2 linked regions of the Rattus norvegicus genome follow. Each later gene encodes a partner of the first gene's protein in a complex. Links are inferred from orthologs where the notes say so. Each region holds a gene or a part of one and is shown on either strand. Other genes may lie near its edges.

Region 1 (11,467 bases):
GAGTTCAAAGCCAGGTGTGTCTGCATTGTGAGTCCCAGATAGGCTTGGACTACAGAATAAGATATTGTTTTAAAAAGAAAGGAAGAAAAGTAAAAGGTATAGCCCAGGGATAACCCCACACTGATAACCCCAGCACTCAGGACCCTAAGTTAGAGGAGGGTCTAACTCTGGCATAGCCTGGGTCACACAGAAGGTTTGAATCCAGCCTGTATTACATAGGAAACCCCTGTCTCAGGAGAAAGACAAAAGCAGCTTAAGAATAGTTTTCTACTTTTCTTTAGTGTGTGTGTATCTTTACATGTAAAGGCTCATGAGTACCATGGATTTGCAGTTATTTCTCTTCTTCACCAAATGGGTCTGAGAGATCAAACTCAGGTGTCAGGCTCAGTACCAGCTTCCTATTTTGTTTTGTTTTGTTTTGTTTTAATTTTTTTCCTTTTTTTTTTTTTTCGGAGCTAGGGACTGAACCCGGGGCCTTGCGCTTGCTAGGCAAGTGCTCTACTGCTGAGCTAAATCCCCAACCCGTTTTGTTTTTTTTTCACACCTACTTTAAAATGTGTGTGATTACATATGCATGTGGAGGTCAGAGGGCAGCTTTAACCATGTGACTCCTGGGGATGAAATCCAGGTCATCAGGCTGAATGGCAAATTTTTTAAAAAGATTTATTTATTTATTTATTTATTTATTATATATAAGTATTATTTATTATATATATAGCTGTCTTCAGACACACCAGAACAGGGCATCAGATCCCATTACAAATGGCTGTGAGTCGGGGTTGGGGATTTGGCTCAGTGGCAGAGCGCTTGCCTAGGAAGCACAAGGCCCTGGGTTCGGTCCCCAGCTCCGAAAAAAAGAACCAAAAAAAAAAAAAAAATGGCTGTGAGTCACCATGTGGGTGTTGGGATTTGAACTCAGGACCTCTGGAAGAGCAGTCAGTGCTCTTAACCACTGAGCCATCTCTCCAGCCCGGCAAATGTTTTTAAACGCTCATCTCACCTGCCCTAGAAGAAGATTTGTAAGTCAACTGCGGGTGGATCCTCAGAAGGGATCAAGGGAGTCCAGCCTCTCTAGACTCCATTTTTTTAGAGGTCATTTCTCCCTCTCACACATGTTCTTAGTATAGCCTATACTAAGCAGTAGCCTATAGCAGTAGCCTATCACCATGTGACTCAGCCAATGATGGAGGACCCTCATCAGAATCAGCACACTGCTGCCTGGAGGCTCAGCTTCCAAGAAAAGAACAGAGGATGTGGGAAGGCATTAATCTATTTAAATATCTGTGTGTAGTTTGGCATGCTAGTACACACCTCTATTCCTATGGAGCAAATTGTAAATACTGTATATACAGGGTATGTCCTCAGCCTTAAGATTAAAAAAAAACCAAAAAACAAAAGCAAGTATGGAACTCTTGCATAAGCATTTCCTCTTGCCCATGCCAGAATTGAGTACAATCCTGAAGCCACTTTTTATATTTCTAGCAAAGTAGAAGTGTATCCGGAAGATGGAAACTAGGTTTCTTTTTTTAAAAGATTGGTTTATTATGTATACGGCTTTCTGCCTGCATGTATATCTGCAGGCCAGAAGAGGGCACCAGATGGGGTTGGGGATTTAGCTTAGTCAAGGGCAAGGTCCTGGGTTCGGTCCTTGGCTGCGGGGGTAGGGGGGTGGGGGGGTAGGGGTGGGGGGGGGACAGCAGATCTCATTATAGATGGTTATGAGTCACAATGTGTTTGCTGGGAATTGAACTCCAGACCCCTGAAAGAGTAGCCAGGGCTCTTATCCTCTGAGCCATCTCTCCAGCGTCTTATATTTGGGGAAGGGAGTCACAAATGCACAGGTAGAGGGATGGAGCAAGCCTGGCAATGTTAGTTAGAACTGGAGGTGTCACTGTGACCTCATGATCTAAGTATACTTAGCATCCTCCATGTCTGCCTCTCAGTACTGATGAATAATTATTCAGATGTGCCTTCTAAACACATTTCACATTGGGCACTTCACATAAACAAACAAGAAAAAGAAACCCAAAAAACAAAATCACATCACAGAGGTCTATTAGTTCCTATTCCTTAGGGCTATGAAACACTGCAGGCAACCTTACAATTGTTCAGATCCCAGCTTTAGAGGCTGAAGCTGCAGGTGGCCTTGTGCGGATTCTGATGAGGCCCCCAGTCATTGGCTGCATCGCGTCATGGTAGGCAGTATACTAAGAGCATGTGTGAGAGAGAAATGACTCCCAAGTGTTTCCAAGCAACGACGCAGGGCTGGAAGCCGAGGCTCAGTGGTAGAACTCATCTAATATGCATGGATTTGGTCTACAGCACGGAGGAAAAAAAAAAAACGAATGAACGGAAGCCAACCCTGGAATGACCATCTTGAAGGAGGCGGGTAAGCAAGCATAAGCATTTATGAGTGATACAAGGTTCCTTTCAGTTTCCACTATCAGAATATGAATGGGCTGCTTGTCCACAGCCTCTCCAACAGAGGGAGTTGTAATACTTGTGAATTTTTGTTAGTACGCTAAATAAGTGGTATGTTAGCAAGACTTATTTATTTTATGTATATGAGTACACTGTAGCTGTCCTCAGACGCACCAGAAGAGGGCATCAGATCCCATTACAGATGATTGTGAGCCACCATGTGGTTGCTGGGAATTGAACTCAGGACCTCTGGGAGAGCAGTCAGTGCTCTTAACCGCTGAGCCATCTCTCCAGCCCGTTTTTCATTTCTTAAATCTAAGAGGAGAACTGTTGTCTCACATGATGATCTTTATATTTTGGTGTTTTTATAGTAGCCATTCCAGTAGGTGCAAATGATATAATCTGCACTCGCCCCCTCATCGCAGGCTAACATCAGGGCCATGTGTACACTGGGCACTTGAGCACTCTTCTGAGCCACCTGCCCAGCCAATGATCTACTATAATGTTTTGATATAAGATGTACTTGTATTATGAGTGTTTTGCCTACATGTATGTCTGTTTACCACAAATGTGAGGCCAGAAGAAGGCCCTGGATCCTAACTCTGAGAACCAAATGTAGGTGATGGAGGAAACCTTGAAGAGCATCGTAAGCTGCTGAGCCATCTCCATATTGCCATAGTCGGTAGCCAACTACCACGATAGCTTTGACTAGCCGTCTCCAAGAACTAACGAAATCAGACGTGCTGGAGATTTTCTTACCTTTGAAGGAAATCTATTCAAGTCCTTTGTCCTCACTTGTGAGAAGAATGCCAGAGACTGAGCCCAGGCCTTGTGTATTCCTGTGCTCTACTACTGACCTACATCCCAGGACCTCTCAGCTATTTTCCTCTTGTCTTTCTACAAAGAAAAAGGAGGGACTGGTGGGATCCTGCTTTGTTTCTAAGCCTGAACATCTGAGTTTGATCCTTAGGACCCCATGGTGGATGGAGAGAGCCAACTCCCAGATTGTCCTCTGACCTCCATATACCCATTGTAACACACACACACACACACACACACACCACACCACACCACACCATGCAAAACACAATAATGACAATAAAATGTTTTAAACGTAAAACATAACCTTCTCCCCAAATACGCTCCTGTCAGTTCTGTTTGGCTGGGTTATAACATTACAGACCAGAAGACTGGCAGCTATCCCTCATCCTGTCTCTCTGTGGTTCTCAGCTGCCACCACCCACCCTGGCCCCGAGTCACTGCTCTCCTTTCAGCCTCCCCACAGCCTCCCAAATGTGCTTTCAGTTTTCATTTGAAAAGTTGCGTCATGCAGTAAAGCAGTTTGAGCAGTCTTGCTCAAAACGTATGTCCACCCAGACATGTAGTCTGGCCCCAGATAACAGGTTTTGCAGATATAATTAAGAAAAAAAAATATATATGTATATAAACGTATATAATTAAGGGGTCTTAAGAAGACGTCATGAATTTAGGTCAGACCTTAAATCCGTGACTAATGCCTTTACTAAAAGGAAAAGGGGAGGCTGGGGAAACAGCTCAGCCAGTAAAGTGCTTGCTGTGCAAGAAGGAAGACCAAATTCAAGCTTCAAAATCCAGGTAAAAACAAAAGCCAGACATGATGGTGCCCGCTTGTAGCTTCAACAGTTGGAAGGTCAAGACTGTGGGCCCCTAGGACTTAACAACCAGCCAGCCAAGCCTAATCAGCAAGCTTCAGATCCCACTGGGAGACCTGTCTCAGAAGACAAGGAGGGCAGGCAATATGGCTCAGTGGGTTAGACACCTGCTAACCAACATGGTGGCCTGAGTTCTGTTTCAGGGACCCTCATAGGAAGGGAAGGACTGAGTCCCACAAACTGTCCTCTGACCTCCACATGCTTATCCACACAAAATAAATACACATAAATTTAAAACACACATACATACAAAGCGGGTGGCACCGAAGGAATGATACCCAAGGTTGACCTCCGGCGTCTCCCCAGGTGCTCACGTGTGTGCACGCGCACACACATACCAGGTCTCAGTAATGCCTGAGAACAAAACAAGAGACGGAGGAAGACATAGTAGCACGTACCTGTCTACAGTCTGCCTGGTGGCTTCTGCCCTCCCTTCCGTTCGCTTGATTACAGACCCAAGTCACACTACAGCGTGTTGGAGGGACAATGGTCAGACACAGGAAGTGCTTCAGGAACTTTCCTGGGGAGACGAAAACAAAGTTAACTTGCCCGGAACAGGCACCAATGACAGGCTAAAGTACCAAAATCGGGTGATTTGAACCAGTTAGTTTGTTGAGCTTATCTACAGAGTATGAAAGAGAGGCTACTTATGGGAGTATGGGTGACCCTGAAACAGCTTCACTACACAAATATCTCACCCCAACCTTGATGATGACTTTCCAGCAGCTTAGATGAGGTTCCCCACGTCAGTTAACCTTCCACCTATACACATGCTACCTCCTGAGACACGGAGACCACACGCAGCTGGGGCAGAGTAATAAAACAGCTGGCACATCCCTGGTGATGTTAGTGCAATCCCTTAATCCCAGCTATCGAGACACAGAGGCAGGCAGATCTCTGTGAGTTGGAGGCCAGCCTGGTCTACAGAGCAAGTTCCAGTACAGTCAGGGGTACATAGAGAAACCCAGTCTCAAACAGTAACAACAGGGCTGGAGAGATGGCTCAGTGGTTAAGAGCACTGACTGCTCTTCCAGAGGTCCTGAGTTCAAATCCCAGCAACCACATGGTGGCTCACAACCATCTGTAATGGGATCCAATGGCCTCTTCTAGTGTGTCTAAAGACAGCTACAGTGTATTCATATAAATAAAAAATAATAATTTTTTTTTAAAAAAAGTAACAACAACAAAATCAACAGGGTGGTAGTGGTGCACACCTTTAATCCCTGCACTCGGGAGGCAGAGGCAGGCAGATCTTCGAGGCCAGCCTGGTCTGCAGAGTGAGTTCTAGAACAGCCGGGGGGGGGGGGGGGGGGGGCGCAGAGTGAAACCCTGTCTTCAAAAGGCTGACACACGCACACAATAACACAATAATCAAAAACAGCTGACAGGAAGGAAAGGCTCAGATCTTACCTTGGGGGTTTCTGGGGAACTGTCATAGCCCCTCTGATCAAGATGACAACAGTGCCAGGCAGTGGTGGCGCAGGCCTTTAGTCCCAGCACTTGGGAGGCAGAGGCAGGTGGATCTCTATGAGTTTAAGGTCAGCCTGGTCTGCACAGTTCTAAGCCAGTGAATGTTACATTATGAGACCCAGTCTCAAAAACCACACGTCTAGGGGCGGGAGGGAGGCATGCACACACTGTTCTTTCAGAGGACCAGAATTTGGTTCCCAGTAACAACTTCCTGTAATATTAGCCCAGGAGGGATCCAGCTCCTCTGGCCTCTGTGGGCATCTGCACATGCGCGCACACACATACACACACACACACACACACACACACACACACACACACACACACACATATACATATCGACAAAAACACGACAAAGGCCATTGTGCTCAGAGAACAGTGTTCTGCACTGCAGGAACTGATAACCTCTGGCTTTGTTCTTGCTCCTCCTAGAGGATGTCACCAGATTAGTGCAGGTCGGGCTGGGCCCTCGACTGGGAGCAGGCTGTTTTTCAGAGCACTGGTCTATGGGTCCTGTGCATCCTGAGGGGTGGGGTGGAGGGCAGGGATTGGGGGGCGGTCTCAGCACTACAAGTGAAGGACACACAGTGCCACTCTGACACTCTCTTGAGCCCTGGTGACTAACTCTGTCATCCCTTTCTGCCCACCAGAAATAAGCCCATTCCAAGTACCTCGTTTTGTCCTGCTCTTCCTCAGTGGACTCACACTGGTGGCATTGCAACAACAGGATGTGAAAATGCCGGATTCCTGTTCCAGGTAGCTTCCAGGTAGCTGACTGACAGAACGACAACCCAGAGGTACTTTGCACTCCCGGGATTAGTAAAGGGAGACGCTGCCTCCCAGGGTCTATCTCCAGGATATCCAAGCCTCCTCTTCTCGAAAATCCTCCAGGCCTAATGGATTCCAGCTGAGAACAGTGTGGCGAGCCACCGCTGCTGCCGCTGCTCCTCCTCCTCCTCCTCCAACGCTTAGCGGAAGCCCAGGACCCCCGCAGCCGCCTCCTTGTCGCCCTAAGGAGGACTCAGGGACTGGGGAACCGGCTGGAGCAGGGTTGCCCTAGACTCTCAAACAGCGGACCCGGGCGCTCAGAACAAAGGCACAACTGCTCCAGCTGCCATGAGAGCCGGAGCATGCGGGCTCCGGAGTCCCTCACAGTCGCTTGGTTTTTTTGTTTTTTGTTTTATTTTTTTGAAACTGTTCAGGCTACCCTGGTGCTTGCTAGAAATCCAGACTGGCCTCACGCTCCTCCAGTCTTTGCCTCCCAAGTGCTAGGATTACAGGAGTGAGCCACCATCCTAGAGTGACACTGTGACAGGCCATGAGGCAGAGGAGGAAATAGAAGTAAAAATGGGGTGGGGTTGGAGGTGGGATAAAATACTGATGCCTTGATTTTTCCACACGAACATGTCGTTAATATTACTTCTTTATTACTTTTACTTTTGGGATTTCGTTTTTAGACAGGGTCTCATGAAGCTAAGGGTGTTAATACATTACCACTGTGATGTGTTGGGTTTTTTTTTTTTTTTTTTTTTTTTTTTGGTTGATTTTGGTTTTGGACACAGAATTTCAGGCAGCCCAGGCTGGCCTCCAACTTGCTAAGTAAGTGGAAGCTGGCTTTACCATCCTCTTAACCTGCTAAACGCTGGGATTACAGGAGAAACAAAGAGCTGAGGTGGCTACTAATCTATCAAAGCTAATAGGGTCGTCAAGCCCCTCAGCAAAACTAGCACCTGTTAGAGTCCTGGCTTCTCTGAGCATTCCTCGCCACTCTGTATCCTAAAGCCTCCAGCCCCTGAGATCCCCTTATGTTCCCCATCTTCTCATTCCTATATAGCCCAGCCCAGGAACTCTCTTGGTTTCCATTCTTTTGGCTTCTTGGTTCTTCTCCCTCTCCTGGTCTCTGTCCCTCTGTCTCTCCCCTCATGGCCAGATTCAGTCTGGATCTTTCCAGATGCCTCTAGCCATTCTCCCCCTCATATCTACAATAAAAACATTCTCCTCAACCATATCTAGGAGGAATCTGATACTTATTTTCATTCACACCATCATGTCTAGCCTTTTCTTTTAACCTTTTATTTTGACATAGTGTATCACTAGATGTCTTCTGTTTGACCATGAACTTGTAATTCTCTTGTCCCAGCCTCCTGAATGACTGGGAATACAGTCTTGTGCTATTCAATTCAAACAAAAATGTGAGTTTTTAATTCACTGCTTTTATTTATTTCTTTTACACTTATTTACCTCTCTTTGTACAAGTTAACATTAAAAAAAAAACACAAATAGGCATAGAGAGATGGCTCAGTGGTTAAAAGCACTGACTGCTCTTCCAGAAGTACTGAGTTCAATTCCCAGCAACCACATGGTGGCTCACAACCATCTGTAATGAGATCTGATGCCCTCTTCTGGTGTGTCTGAAGACAGCTACAGTGTACTTACATATAATAAATAAATAAATCTTTTTTTTAACATTTATTTATGTATACATCATACAGCTTTCTGCCTGCATGTATTCCTGCAGGCCAGAAGAGGGCACCAGATCTGATTATAGATGGTTATGAGCCACCATGTGGTTGCTGGGAATTGAACTTAGGACTGGAAGAGCAGACAGTGCTCTTAACCACTGAGCCATCTCTCCAGCCCCTAAATAAATAAATCTTAAAAAAACCCACACACACAAATAAATTAGGGTTGAAGACCATGGAGTGTGTGTGTGTGTGTGTATTCCTGAATATCGAGGCCTGGGTGTGATGTGTACAGAATAGAGGACACATTTTGAGAACTAGGGTCACTCTTCCCACCACATGGCCTACAGAGTGAGTTCCAGAATAGCTAGGCCACAGAGTGAAACCCTGTCTCTAAAAAGAAAAAAACAAAACAAACAAAAAACCCAACCAACTAACCAAACAAACAAAAACACTAAAGCCAGTAGTGGTTGTAATCTCATGTTGTAAGCTCAGGAAGCTAAGCTAGGAGCTTGGAAAGTTCCAGGCCATGGTGGATAACCTAGAGAGTTGCAGGCCAATAGGTGGTGTTTAACAGGTGGTCGAAAGTGTGTACTCTCAGGACGTGAAAGGTACGCTCAGTACGTGAAACAATAGAATCGGGAGTTCAAGATCAGCCTCTGGTACAAGATTTTCAGACCAGCCTGGGCAACATGAGACCCTATCTCTAAAGAACTAAAAGCAACATTTTTAAATAGAGATCTTGCCTACAACACATAAATCTTGTGTTAAGCTCGCTCCCCCCCCCCATGGTGTTTGTGATGGTTTGAATGAGAATAGAATTCATATATTTGAATGCCTGTTTACCAGGGGGTGGAACTATTTGAAATGATTAGAAGGATAAGGAGTTATAAGCTTATCAAAGGAAGTGTGTTACTGGGAGTGGGCTTTGAGGTTTCAAAAGCCCATACGGGGCCCAATCTCTGTCTCTGTCTCTGTCTCTCTCTCTCTCTCTCTCTGTCTATGGATCAGTCTGTAGCTCTCATCTCTACTTACTCTAACACCAGTCGTGCGGCCATGCTCCCTGCCATGATGCTAATGGGCTAACCCTCTGAAACTGTAGACCAGCCCCCAGTTACAGGCTTCCTATGAGAGTTGTCTCAGCTGTGTGTATGTTCACAGCGGTAGAATGGTGAGTAAGCCAGCGCCGAACAATGGTAACCATACACCTGGGAGGGTAGAGACCCTATCTCAAGAAGACAAACTAAAGGTATATTAGTGATGTGTAGGCTTTTCTTGGTTTCGAGGAACTGCTGTGTTCAGGAGGGATCAGGGAGGGATGTTACCATGGCATTCAGTCCAGGCGGGCTCAGTTGACCCATGGCTTCAATTGATCTCCATAGCAAATCCCCACCTCCCCTGAGCCCAGCCTGAAGGGTATTGAAACTTTCTATGGCTTTAGCTCCTGGGCAAGGTTAGAATCCTCTTGTACTGGACACTGATGACATATGGTAATGTTTTGTCCAGAAGACTCCACACTCCCCTGACTGTCAGGGTTGGGAGGGTTTTTCCTTGTTGTGTCTCCAGTCAGAACAGAAGGCCCCAAATCCTTTCCTGTGTGTGTGTCGGTAAGAACTCAGGGGTGTATAACCCTAGCAACTTGGGAGTTGTAACCGGAAGATCACAAGTCCAAGGCCAGTATAGGTGGATCAGAGAGATCCTATTAGAACAACAAAGAAAAAAATGTAAAGATAACAAAACCAGTAGTAGAATGCTTGCCCCGCCCTTGGAGTCCTGATTCATCCAGCTGCCTGTGTTGCTCTAAGCAGCTGGGAGCCCAAGGCAGGCATAGCCAGAGAGAGAAATAGCCAAGAGCAATATGGTGCTGCACAGTGTGCCTTGCTGTGGACACTGAAGTGGATATAATTAAGTTCTGGCCTCTGAGGGGGAATCTTCTGGAGTGAACAGTGTTGTTGGTAATAATTACTCTCAATTGGGGATTTCTACCCTGCCTTGTGTCATTTAATTCCCAGATAAAAGACACACAACCTTTATGTTTATAATAAGCCTTTACAGCACTAGGGCTGGGAAGACATCAACCCCCCATGCTATTTTGTCTACTTACCTGCCAATAACCTGAGATATGACTGCCAAGTTCTACCTGGGCCACTTTTTTTGTTTGTTTGTTTTTTGTTTTTGTTTTGTTAAGATTTATTTATTTTATGTATGTGAGTACACTGTCACTCTCTTCCTACACACCAGAAAAGGACATCAGATTCCATTACAGATGGTTGTGAGCCACCATGTGGTTGCTGGGAATTGAACTCAGGACCTCTGAGTAAGCAGTCAGTGCTCTTTTTTTTTTTTTTTCTTTTTTCTTTTTCTTTTTTTTTTTCAGAGCTGGGGACCGAACCCAGGGCCTTAGCACTCTACCACTGAGCTAAATCCCCAACCCCGCAGTCAGGGCTGCTGAGCCCTCTCTCCAGCCCCTAGCCCTACTATTTTTAATGAATAAATTTTTAATGTCTCCATTTAAGACTCTATATGACAAATGTTAACGTCATGTGACTAGATCTCTTTGAATTCCTCAATAATAAAGAGTTTGTCAGGTGCGGTGCCGTGGTCCTCTAACACCAGTGTTTAGGAAGCAGAAGCAGGCAGAGCTCTGTGAATTTGAGGCTGGTGTACTTTGAGAGTTCCAGGACAGCTAGGGCTACATAATAGAGAGACCCTATCTCAAAAAAAAAGTAATGGTCTAAAGGGGCCGAGGGAAGATGGCTCTAATATTTCTGTGTATTATACACCTGTAATCTCACAGTTGTGAAGTACACAGGAATGAGGACTAGCTTACCAATCTGAGATTCCACTTGCTTTGGGCTATACACATGCTTTTACTTTTAAACAATTTATTACTTATTTTTATTTTATGTACGTTTGCGTTCTGGCTGCATGTATGTCTGTGTGAGGTGGTCAGATCCCCTGGAACTGGAATTACAGTTGTGAACTGCTGTGTGGTGATGGGAATTGAACCCCGGTCCTTCTGAGCCATCCCTCCAGCCCCTAATGATGCACGTGGCAGTCTGAAACCTTTGCCCATCTGCATTCTGAGTGCACAGGCCCTTCTAAATAATAAAATGTTTCTTCTTATTTAATGACTATCAAACTTGTATGGTTGGTTTGTTTGTTGTCGTTTGAGACACGGTCTCTCTATGTAGTTTAGGCTATCCTGAAATGGTCTCACAGTGATCCATCTATCTGTCTCTGCTTCCCAGGTGCTGGAAAGGCATGCACTGCTACACCTGGCTAAATTTGTACAGTTTCTATTCAACAGTATTACATGCAAACATACATACATACATGTTGTTGTAAAAATATAAAAATAAAAAAGTAGGGCTAGAGAGATGGCTCAGTGGTTAAGAGCACTGACTGCTCTTCCAGAGGTCC
Region 2 (10,694 bases), on another chromosome or scaffold:
AAAGGATTAGAAAATAATGCACAATAGCCTTTTGCCTTTGTAGCCTCAACCCATTGCCAAATTGAAGACAGTCATAAAGTCATTAGCCTCATTCCAGTTTAGGGCCACAAACATGACTATTTCAGTTACTATAGCTAAGACTTTGTTACCTCTTTGGCTACACATAATCCCTGTCTTCTGTCAGTATGGAGACACACTTTACTGGACCCAAACCAGAGTATCTTATGTTTGTTACATGATGGAGCACTGAAGAAGGAACACACAGGTTGAGCAAGTATATAAGGTGTGAGAACCTCTTCCAGCCAACCAATGTGTAAAAGGCTTTTAATCTCAAGAGACTGATTGCCGATGGGAGAGACAGCTCAGTTACTCAAGGGCTTCCCAGTAAGCAGAGGACCTGATCTCAATTCACAACACCCATAAAGGCTGGGCCTGGGGGAGTGTGCTTGTAATTCCAGCATTACCCTGGAGCTTCTTGTCTAGCCAGCTTAGCCTAATTGACAGGTGCCAGGGCCCATGGTTACACTGCAGTGTGGCCTCTGTACCTCCACTGCTGGGGACTCCTGAAGATGCTGCCGCCGCCTCCACCTCTTCCTCCTCCTCCTTCCCAGCTTGACGTGGCACATGCTTACTTCTTTCCTCTCATGGCCACTATGGTGCATATTGGTGGCCACTCCTCACACTCACAGATCAGGGTCCTGAGGTATAGAGACACACACCCAGAACTTTATTATGTGAGTGGCCTGATCCACATGACATTTGTTTTGCCCAGCTCCGTGTGTGGTCGGCTGTTCAGGTGTCTTTTACCTGAGATTTCAGCACGGCAATCTGTGCACTTACTTCTCATACATGCAGAACGTAACCCCTGGTTGGCAGGTTCCAGCACTGAGAAGCCTGGCAAAGCTGATCAGTGCACCATAGCAACCGAGTCAAACCTTACTCCACACAGTCAGAAACAACCCACTGAAGGAGGCCCTTTAGGACGAGAAATGACACGCACACAGCACAGTGTAGCACGTGTCTTCTCAGTTTATTTTTTCCTAGAAAAGAAAATGGAAACAGCCTAACAAAATTACACAGTGGTCTGCTGACAGAAGAAAAAACACAGATATGCTGATAGTGTAGAAATCTAGAATTTCCAAACTTCATTAGTTTTAAACATCACCATAGTTGATATAAATTGGTCTTAGAAATTACATTATATATGTTTCTATTATCAACTTTGTTTTAACGTTTTATTGGCACTTTCTCTTTACAGACCTGCTTTCATTTCGAAGCTCTGGTATTCAAAAACAACTCCCCTGCTAGTTTTGAGCACAACCCGCTCAACACTTGAATTAAAGTGAGACCCTGATCTCCTTTATTTGCATCACATTTGCATGTCCGTTTCAGTCAATTTGCATATTGTCATAACTACTGTGGAGTGAAGAGAACAGTCTCTGCCACCCTGAGTGCAGAACTGAGAGAGACGGAATATCTGCAGACAGTTTAAGAGGAAACACTTCACAACAGCAGTAGTAAGATGCCTGAAAGAATTAGAATGGGTCGGACATAAAAGAGAATCTCTCCAGAAAATACCAGTTTAGTTGGGTGTGGTGGCACACACCCTTTAATCCCAGCACTCAGGGGCAGAGGCCCAAGGCCGGCCTGGTCTGCATAGCGAGTTCCAGACCAGCCAGGGCTCTCCAGGGAGACCCTGATTCAAAAGAAAAAAGAAAGAAAAGGCAAGACTAACTCCCCACTGGCCAGCTAGATTCTTCTTCTTTGTTTTCGTGGGTGACTTGTACACACATCTTCACCATTGTCCTCCGGAGGCTTCGGCACAGATGAAGTCACCTGGTTTAAAAAGAAGAAAGGATCATTAAGCAGTCAGCAGCAACAGTCAGGAAAAATGGGGCAGAAATGAGTAAAATTTAGATTAAAAGGACAACACATAGAACCAACCAAATAAGCACTTGGTTCCTTTCAAATGTAATATTAACAAACTGAGAGAGGGAGAGAAGGTAGGGGAGCAAATACCCCAAACCAACCAGCCAGCCAGCCAAAAAACCCAGGAAGGTTAAAACAGATTCTCGTAAAATTAAGAGAATCATTTGGGAATTCTTTTGAAAACATATTTCAAAATTCTGGAAAGTCTAAAAGAAATGGATCAATTCCTAGGCATAATTGATGGACAAGCCTGGCCCATTAGGATTAGAAGCCGTCTTGTTACATGACTCAGCCTGCTTTCTGTGAACTGGACCTGACTACCCCTTGGCACACTTCTGGAATGGGACACACTACGCACTATGCACCTCCCCCCCTAGATGTTCTACGGAGTCCCACGTACTCTAGTCTTGCCGACCTTAAGCTATGTAAATTGTACTTTCCTCTATGTTCACTGCTGTTCTTTCAATCCCCACACTAGGGAGGCAGCCCTGTCTGACAGAAAATAAAGCTTTCTTAACTTGACAAAAAAGGTTAGGCAACAGGGGTAACAATACCACCTATTAAAATTAACTTGATACAACCAATTTAAATATATCTATGAGTGAAGCATCAATAAAAGTCCCTGGAAAAGTAAAAGTCCAATGGATTCACTGCTGAATCCCACTAATGCTTAAAGAAAGGCTAATACCAACGCTCCTCAAACTAGGTTAAAAAGCAGAAGAGTAAGGAAGGAATATTACCTGACTCATTCTATGAATAAGTCAGTTCCATTCCAAGATTTCCAGGAAGATTCCACATAGGTAAATCAATAAATAATACACTGAGCCTCAAGAACAGGAATTATATGCTTATGTCAGTAGACAATTAGAGGAGACAGAGAATTTCCTTTAATATCAGGGATAGAGACAAAAGTGTCCCCTCTTCTACTCTTATTCACTATGATACTGTGAGTCTATGCCAGAGCAACGAGACAAGAAAAATAACACAGAGGAAAGGGAGACATCATGTGATCTCTATTCAGACTACACAACTCTACACTTAAAAGACTCTAAAGATCTGACCAGAAAATGCTAAACTATGATAAGCACTGTCATAAAAATATATAAACTCAACAAACAAAAACAGCAGCTTTTCTGTAAAAGCAATAAACTTGCCAAGAAAAAAAAATCAGAAAAAAAATTCCATTCACAATAAACAACAAAACTAAATAGTTCGGGAGGGAGGCTCTGCTGGTGAGGTGCTTGCCATGCAGATGCAGCCTTGAGCTCTGACCTCCAGCACCTGGGAAACGGTCAGGTGCAGTAGAGCTCTCATCTCCAGCACCTGGGACATGGCCAGGTGCAGTAGAGTTCTCCTCTCCAGCATCTGGGAAATGGCCAGGTGCAGTAGAGCACACCTAAACCTCCAACCTTGGTGACAGACACAAAAGGGTCCCAGGAGCCTGCTGGCAGGCAGTCCAGCCGAGCAGTGAGCTCCAGGTTAAAGGAGAGAACCTGCTTCAAAAAAAAAAAAAAAGTAACAGAGGAGACCATGTGCACACATACATGAACATATATACACATATATACCACACACTTAAGCCCAGGAATAAATTTAACCAGAAGGCCAAAGACCTCTATAGTCAAACTCTTAGCGAGAAAAGACACTGAAGAAGAAATAGAACATGGCATAACCTCTCATGTTTCTGGATTATTGTGGGATTTTAACAATTTATACTTGTTATGCTGCCCCATCTCGCTTACAGCACAGTGCACACAGGGATGTGAGAGAACTACTTGTTGTAGTAGGTGCTAGAACAGAGCACAGGTGGTCAGGCTAGGGAGCAAACATCTCTACACTGAGCCATCTCGCCAGCCCCAGGCATATTCTCTCTCTCTCTCTCTCTCTCTCTCTCTCTCTCTCTCTCTCTCTCTCTCTCTCAAGTTTTTTTGAGATACAGTTTCTAGGGTTTCTCTGTGTAGCCTAGAACTAGCTCTATAAACCAGAATGGCCTGAAATTCAGAGCTCTGCCTGCCTCTGCCTCCCAAGGGCTAGGATTAAAGACATGAGCCACCACCCCTGGCAGAATTAACTTTGAAAACTACATTTATTCATTTATTTGTGCACAAGGGAATATATATGTGCTCACAGCATGTATATGAAGGCCAGAGGAAACATGTAGAGTGAGGATTGAACTCAGGGTGGTCAGGTTTGTGGATAGTATCTTTACCTGGTGAACTATCTCTCTGGCCCTGGCAGAATTAATATTGTGAAGATGATGTGATCTGAAGAACAAACACAATCCTTATCGAAGAATCAAAGAAATCCTCTATAAAGGTACAAAACAACTGCCCTAAACGTCTTATGGAAGTAGGAATGTTTCATAATGAGTTAAAGCCATAGCAAGCAGTGAGGACAAAGCTAGAGATGGAACAGTATCTTAGGTCAGATGACAGGGCCACAGTGATAAGATAGATGTGCTGCCCAGTCTGTCATAACTGACGCAATGTTTCCCTATGATCTGGCTGTAGGGCACTCTTAATTAGTGATGGATGGTGGAGGGTCCAGCCCATCGTGGGTGGTACATTCCTGGGCCAGTGGTCCTGGGTTGTCTAAGAAAGTAGGCCGAGCACATAAGCAGCACCCCTCCATGGCCTCTGCGTCAGCTCCTGCTTCCAGCTTCCTGCTCTGCTTGATTTCCTATCCTGACTTCCTTCAATAATAAACAGCAATAAAAATAAGCCAAATAAACCTTTTCCCCAACTTGCTTTTTGGTTATGGCGTTAGAAACCCTAACTAAGACACAAAAGCAGCCTAGTACTGGATAAAAACAAGAATGCAGAGGGGATAGAACAGAGGCCAGAAGTAATCCCACATAGCCACAGCTACAACATTTTTTGACAAGGGTATCAAAAACACATGGAGAACACACACACACACACACACACACACACACACACACACAAACACACACACACCACACACACACACACACACACACACACCACACACCACACACACACAAACACACACACTCAAAATGTACTGAGGACTGTAACAAGCTCTCAGACTACCAGAGGAAAACAGGAAGAACACTTCAAGAGACTAGGCAAAGATCTTTGAAATGGATTGTAAAGGAACAGATTATGATGAGCAAACTGACGAATGGGATCACATGGAACTGAGGAGCTTCTGCACAGCAGCACAGTCAGGAACGTGAGTGAAAGAGCCTGCACAATGGGGGGTCTGTGCCCAATGACACAAATGAGGCCTTCATGTCGAGCATCTACAAAGAACTGCTGAAAGTTACACACTAAAGACAAGTGATCCGGTCAATAAGCAGGCTAACAAGCTGAACAGATCTCAAAGGAAGAAACACATATGGCCAACACAAGTTTGAAAATGTCCAACATCATTAGCAACAGGGAAATGCAAAAGAACAGATTAGGATGCTATCTCACCTCAAACAAATGCAAATTGAAACAACATTGGGATTTCACCTTAGCCCAGAAACAGCAGGATACAGATAAAATCCTGGTTTTACAGGTTGTTTGGTTTATTTTTGAACAGGTGTAACTTTGACTGGCCTGACCTGACCTGGAACTTACTAGGTGGACCAGGCTGGCTAACAGAGATCTCAGCTGCAATGGCTTCTGAATACATTGTTGTTATTCCATTACCAAAAATAACTTAATAGTAGGGCAAAGGCAGGATAAGACCACCTTGATTTGAGATGGGAAAATACTAGAAGTTGTGGTTAAGTATATGAAGTATGTTTTTGTTGACCTGTTATTTCTCTGGATGTAGAGTTTACACTTAAATGCAGTTGGTCCTGACTGAGACAGCCACGAGTCTGTGTGCCTCAGTGTAGTGCACCAGAAGGAAGTAAGGTGCTGGCATATATCGAAAAACTTAGGGAGACTTAAAAATAAAACCACATTCATACACTTTACCATTTCAACTAGGTGGAAACAAAACTCTAAACCAAAACAAGACAGAGAAGCACCTCCTCTCCAATCACTTCTCCAATCACACTGCAGAACAAGAGGGCGCCACGTGAGCCCCGTGTGAGCCCCCGTGTGAGCCCCCGTGTGAGCTGGGCTGACCAGGGAGTTAACTAAGAAAATGCTTACGGCCTTCCAGAAATGATTCTGAGGCCCATCCCACTCCACAAAAAGCTTTCACAAGCTCCTGCAACTGTTAACTTTCTTTTGTGTTTACAGAATGGAAAATAAAGTAAATAACGGGAACGGGGGTTAGACAATCTGATCTCTAACTATTCAGAGCTTTGATCTTGACACACACAACTGAGTGTGGGCAGGCACAGACTCAGTTTTTAATAATCTCACTTTGTGGGCTGGGGATGCGGCAGTGATGGAGCATTTGCCCAACACACAAGTCCCTGAGTTCGGTTCCCAACAAAATTAAGTGATTGATCAAAATCATTCCTTTTATGAATATTTGACTCTGATGTAATCTGCAGTTAGCTGAATTTTAAGAGAAATAATCAATTATAACTGTCAATTTTTGCTTATGCTATTACTACCTAGGGAGCTGGCTTTAAATAGGGAAGGGAGGAAAGACAGTATCCGGAATCAGCTGTCATAGTCTGATTGACTGGACATTTAGCATTTTGTACCTATACTGACATAAAATGTATCTGTTCATTGTTAAGTCAAGGATGACTGTAAAGGGAGCTGGAGAGATGGCTCAGTGGTCAAGAGCACTGACTGCTCTTCCAGAGGGCTTGAGTTCAGTTCCCAGCAACCACATGGTGGCTCTCAACCATCTGAGTGGGATCCGATGTCCTCCCTCTTCCTGCCTGTGTGTCTGAAGAGAGTGACAGTATACTCACATACATAAAATGAAATGACTTAAAAAAAAAAAAGATAGATATTGATCAAATTTGATATTTTAGAAGATAACAAAACCAAATAATTACAAAGTTTTAGTTCCTCCAAATTTCCTATCAAGTTGTTGGTCTCACAATTAATTAAAAACAAAAAAAACAAAAAAAACAAAAAAACAAAAAACCTCACCTCTTTAAGTTTACTCCGAATTAAGTTTGCCGTTGTATTCAAGGAGTCATCCTGCAGATCTACTGTGGGAATACCTGGTAACTTAGGTCCAATCAAAACCTCGTTACTGCTTATGTTTGTTTCAAGAAAAGTTCCAAGTTCACGATCACAGTCTCGCCGTCTTTTCCTCTCCTGCAGCTGTGTTGTCCTAGGCATAAATCTGCCAACTGCCTGTGAAGTAGCAATGGCCTCTTGCACACTAGAGCAAGGGACGGAAGTTTTGTAAGTGTTCATCTGTAGTTTTGGGGGAAAGGCACTGTGGTCACGGTGCTTCTGCAGTTCACCACGGTTCCTAGCACTATTGCAGGAGTCTGACGCTTTGTCCGTGTGCTCCCCAGGTGAACATGGGCTTTTGGAGGCAAAATAGCATAAAGGGAATTCACAAGAGTAAGGAAGACAAGGACTTGAGTTCTCTGAAGGATTCTTGGGAGATGTGTTTAAAGCAGGTGTACAAAATCCAGGCATATGTGCATGGAAGTCTTGTCTAGAATCTTTTGTTCCTTTTTGCTCTGGAACTGGTTTCTTCTTGGTCACATAATAGTCTTTACAGTCATAGTTTTACAAGTTGAGGGAAAGGGAAACAAATCATTAATCATTTTGAACATCCAAAATCTTAAAATTCTAAAAACAAACCTTAAAATGCTAAGAAGCTCTACTCCTAAAATGGTACCTCTAGAGCAGAGAATACAGTGATAAGGCTTAAAGGCTTTTTGAAAGGATTCCATGGGATACTGCCAAGTGTCACCTACTCATCTATCTAGAATGTCTTACTTTTCTCTGGAGCCACTTGAAAAATAATAAAACTTGCTGCTGATCAAAAATTGTTAGTTTCCCATAATGAGCAACATGTAGAACCAGTCTGTAAACCACAATTGCTTCTTGCTGCCTTCATGTTTAAACCCTGGGCCACTTAGCCTGGGACACAAGGCTTCATAATTTGCTTCTTGTCTACTTTCCTAATCTCTCTCACTAAAACCTTGGAACTCTGGTTACTCTGTAGGACTTACAGCTCTTTAAATGTATGGTGGCAATTTATCTGCCTAAGTTTAAACGTAGCCTGGCTTACCTTGCCATCCTTTTACCCTATTTACTACTGAATACCATTTACGACTATTTAACTCTCCCATGCCAGAGGCAATCTCCATGAATCAACATTGCTCCCTTCCCGGCCCAGACTCCACAGTGGGGCACAGACCCCATCAGTTCAAGTCACCGAAGAACGTGACTGAGTAGGAATTCCACAATGACACACATACCTAGCAGTGCCTGACACACAGGAGTTGTTAACACAGACTTTCCATATTTCCATACCTTGGTTTTTAGTAACTCTTGAAATATAAGCCTTTCTTTCTTCTAATTTTTTTCTAGTTTCTTCAACTGTCTCAAATTCTGGAGCATAGCACACATGAAGTAACCCTCCAAAGAAACTCTGTTCATCCATCTTTTTCTTAGCTATCCTAAAAAGAAATGCATAACTTAAAGAGAATGCTAAAGAAATGCATAAGTTACATGGTTCAAAAACAATTAACAAATAGCCACGCCACATACACATAAAAATAAGAGAAATAATAATGTTTAAAAAAGAAATGCTGAACACCTATGCTGAACCAAGCACTGTAAGTAATTAAGTACTTCTGTATCTACAGATAATGATTAATGTTTATTGAGCGATTACTCCATGCAAAGCCACAAGTGTGCCACTTAAATTGACATCTCATAACCATCTCATGGTAAAACCAAGGCACCGGGAAATTCTGGGTCACATACATTCATCTATAAAACTAGGATTCAACTCAGATGGCTGACTCCAAAGCCAACTGTATCAGGGTCTGTAGAGATACAAGGCGCTAGAGAATCTGCTCTCTATACCACGAAGAGTTGCCCACTTGGTAAGAAAAGGCACATGGCCTTTTGAAGTCAAGTGATTTTGTGGTGGACTAGGAGTAGCGAACAAAAGAAACACAGGGGCTGGAGGGATAATTAGGTGGGTGATAAGAGCACTTGCTGATTTTGGGAAGAGTAGATTCAAATCCCAGACCCATTTTGGATAGCTTACAACCACCTGTAACTCCAGTGCCAGAGGATTTGAAGCCCTTTTCCACCAAAACATTTATAAATGGCAAAAGCCAGAGAAGGATATGGTTTAGATCATGTTAATGATTAAAAAGAAAAAATGGCTAACATGAGCTAGGGAGACTGCTCAGTTGAAAAAGTACTTGTTTAAGCTTGAGTAGCTAGGCTCAGATCCCTAGCGTGCACATAAAAACTAGGCACCGTACTGTGCCTATAATCCCTGTGCTGGCGAGATAGAGAAGGTAAGACCACTGGAGCCTGATGGCCAACCAATCTAGCCATGAGTTCTAGTTTCAATAAGGGTCTCGTCTCAAAACATAGGGTAGAGTACACTGTAGTGGTACATGTCTTTAAACCTGGTGGGGATGGGGAGGCAGATTCAGGAGGAAGTTGAGTTCTAGTCAGCTGGCCTACATAGCAAGTTTTACACACGCAGGCGTGCACCCACCTACAGTCACACACTCCCCCACCCAAAGGGTTAACATAAAATAAAGCATTGTTGACTTCAGTCTTATTGGAATACAAGGTTGATTAACATAGAACCATACTAATAAGAACTGTCATTACTAATATTTACTTTTTGTTTTTGTTTTTTGGTTTTTTTTGTTTGTTTGTTTGTTTTTTTGGAGACACAGTTTCTCTGGGTAGCTCTGGCTGTCCTGCAATTAGCTCTGTAGACAAGGCTGGCCTCGACCTCAATCTACCTGCCTCTGCCTCCCAGGTGCTAGGATTAAAGGCCTGTGCCACCACTGCCTGGCTCTAATATTTACTCTTAATAGGAGGTACCAGTCTAATCCTTTTACATAAATTGTTTCATTTCATCCTTCCTCAGTGAACCTCAAGAAGTAGACCTTTTTGCCCTGTGGATTTTAGGAAAAGAAAAAAAAATGTGCTTGGCAGGAATAAAATTCTCCAAAGTCAGGAAGCCATAGGACTGGAAATGTGCTTCAAATGTAATTCCTCATCTCCCAAATCTACCACACTCCAGGTTCAGAAACCATCAAGCACAGGATGGGAAAAGTGTTGTAAAGTCAGCCTTTCGAACATCAGAAGGAAGAGCTGGGATATCATTCACTGTTAGAGTGACTGACTGCATATGTGAGGCCTGGTAAAAACTAAACCAGAAGGCGAGATGGGGTGTTGCACACCTTTGGACCCAACACTCGGGAGGCAGAGACAAAGGGTTCTTTGAGTTCAAGGCCAGCCTGGTCTATCGAACTAATTCCAGCACAGCTAAAGCTATTCAAATAAACCCTGCTCCCCAACCCCCAAATCAGGAAGACTGAGAGTGAGAAGTGCTCATGTGATTTGGGTCTGTTTGGGAAATCCTGAGGCCGAAATGACGGCAACAGGAATAGAAGACGCGAGTTCTGCTTAACTTGTACATACCTTGCACTTTGTAATTTCACAAATTTAATGAGATAAACTTCTGTAAAATCTTCTGCTGGGTATTCATCTAGAGCATTATACTGTTCAATCGCACCATAGAGAGCAAATCTCTCAACTAATTCCTTCATGGCTCCCACTGCAGGAACTCCTTGTATTAGTAAGTACTGAGACTCCAAATTGATGGTATATACCTAAAGTCGGGGGAGAGCCCGTTAAACGTACTCTTCAAACAAGCCTATGGCAAAT

Evidence for each region. Proteins that work in one complex are often made in the same cells at the same time.
Region 2: Srrm2 (region 1) and Rbm48 share a complex: the UniProt entries of both Homo sapiens proteins name them as parts of the minor spliceosome. The link is inferred for Rattus norvegicus from reciprocal best matches to the Homo sapiens genes SRRM2 and RBM48.

Annotation. Positions count from the first base shown.
Region 1 is NC_086028.1:13,315,147-13,326,613, reverse strand, and holds the start of Srrm2 (serine/arginine repetitive matrix protein 2), read right to left. Parts: upstream 6,556-11,467; 5' UTR 6,254-6,555; exon of another isoform or gene 6,241-6,253; intron 4,633-6,240; 5' UTR 4,511-4,632; intron 50-4,510; exon of another isoform or gene 1-49. UniProt on the Homo sapiens protein: Required for pre-mRNA splicing as component of the spliceosome. As a component of the minor spliceosome, involved in the splicing of U12-type introns in pre-mRNAs.
Region 2 is NC_086022.1:31,514,467-31,525,160, reverse strand, and holds the end of Rbm48 (RNA-binding protein 48), read right to left. Parts: intron 10,640-10,694; coding exon 10,449-10,639; intron 8,444-10,448; coding exon 8,298-8,443; intron 7,529-8,297; coding exon 6,948-7,528; intron 1,837-6,947; coding exon 1,750-1,836; 3' UTR 1,337-1,749; coding exon of another isoform or gene 1,259-1,336; 3' UTR 1,014-1,258; downstream 1-1,013. Other genes in the region: 1700109H08Rikl (calaxin-like), read left to right, coding at 1,259-1,336. UniProt on the Homo sapiens protein: As a component of the minor spliceosome, involved in the splicing of U12-type introns in pre-mRNAs.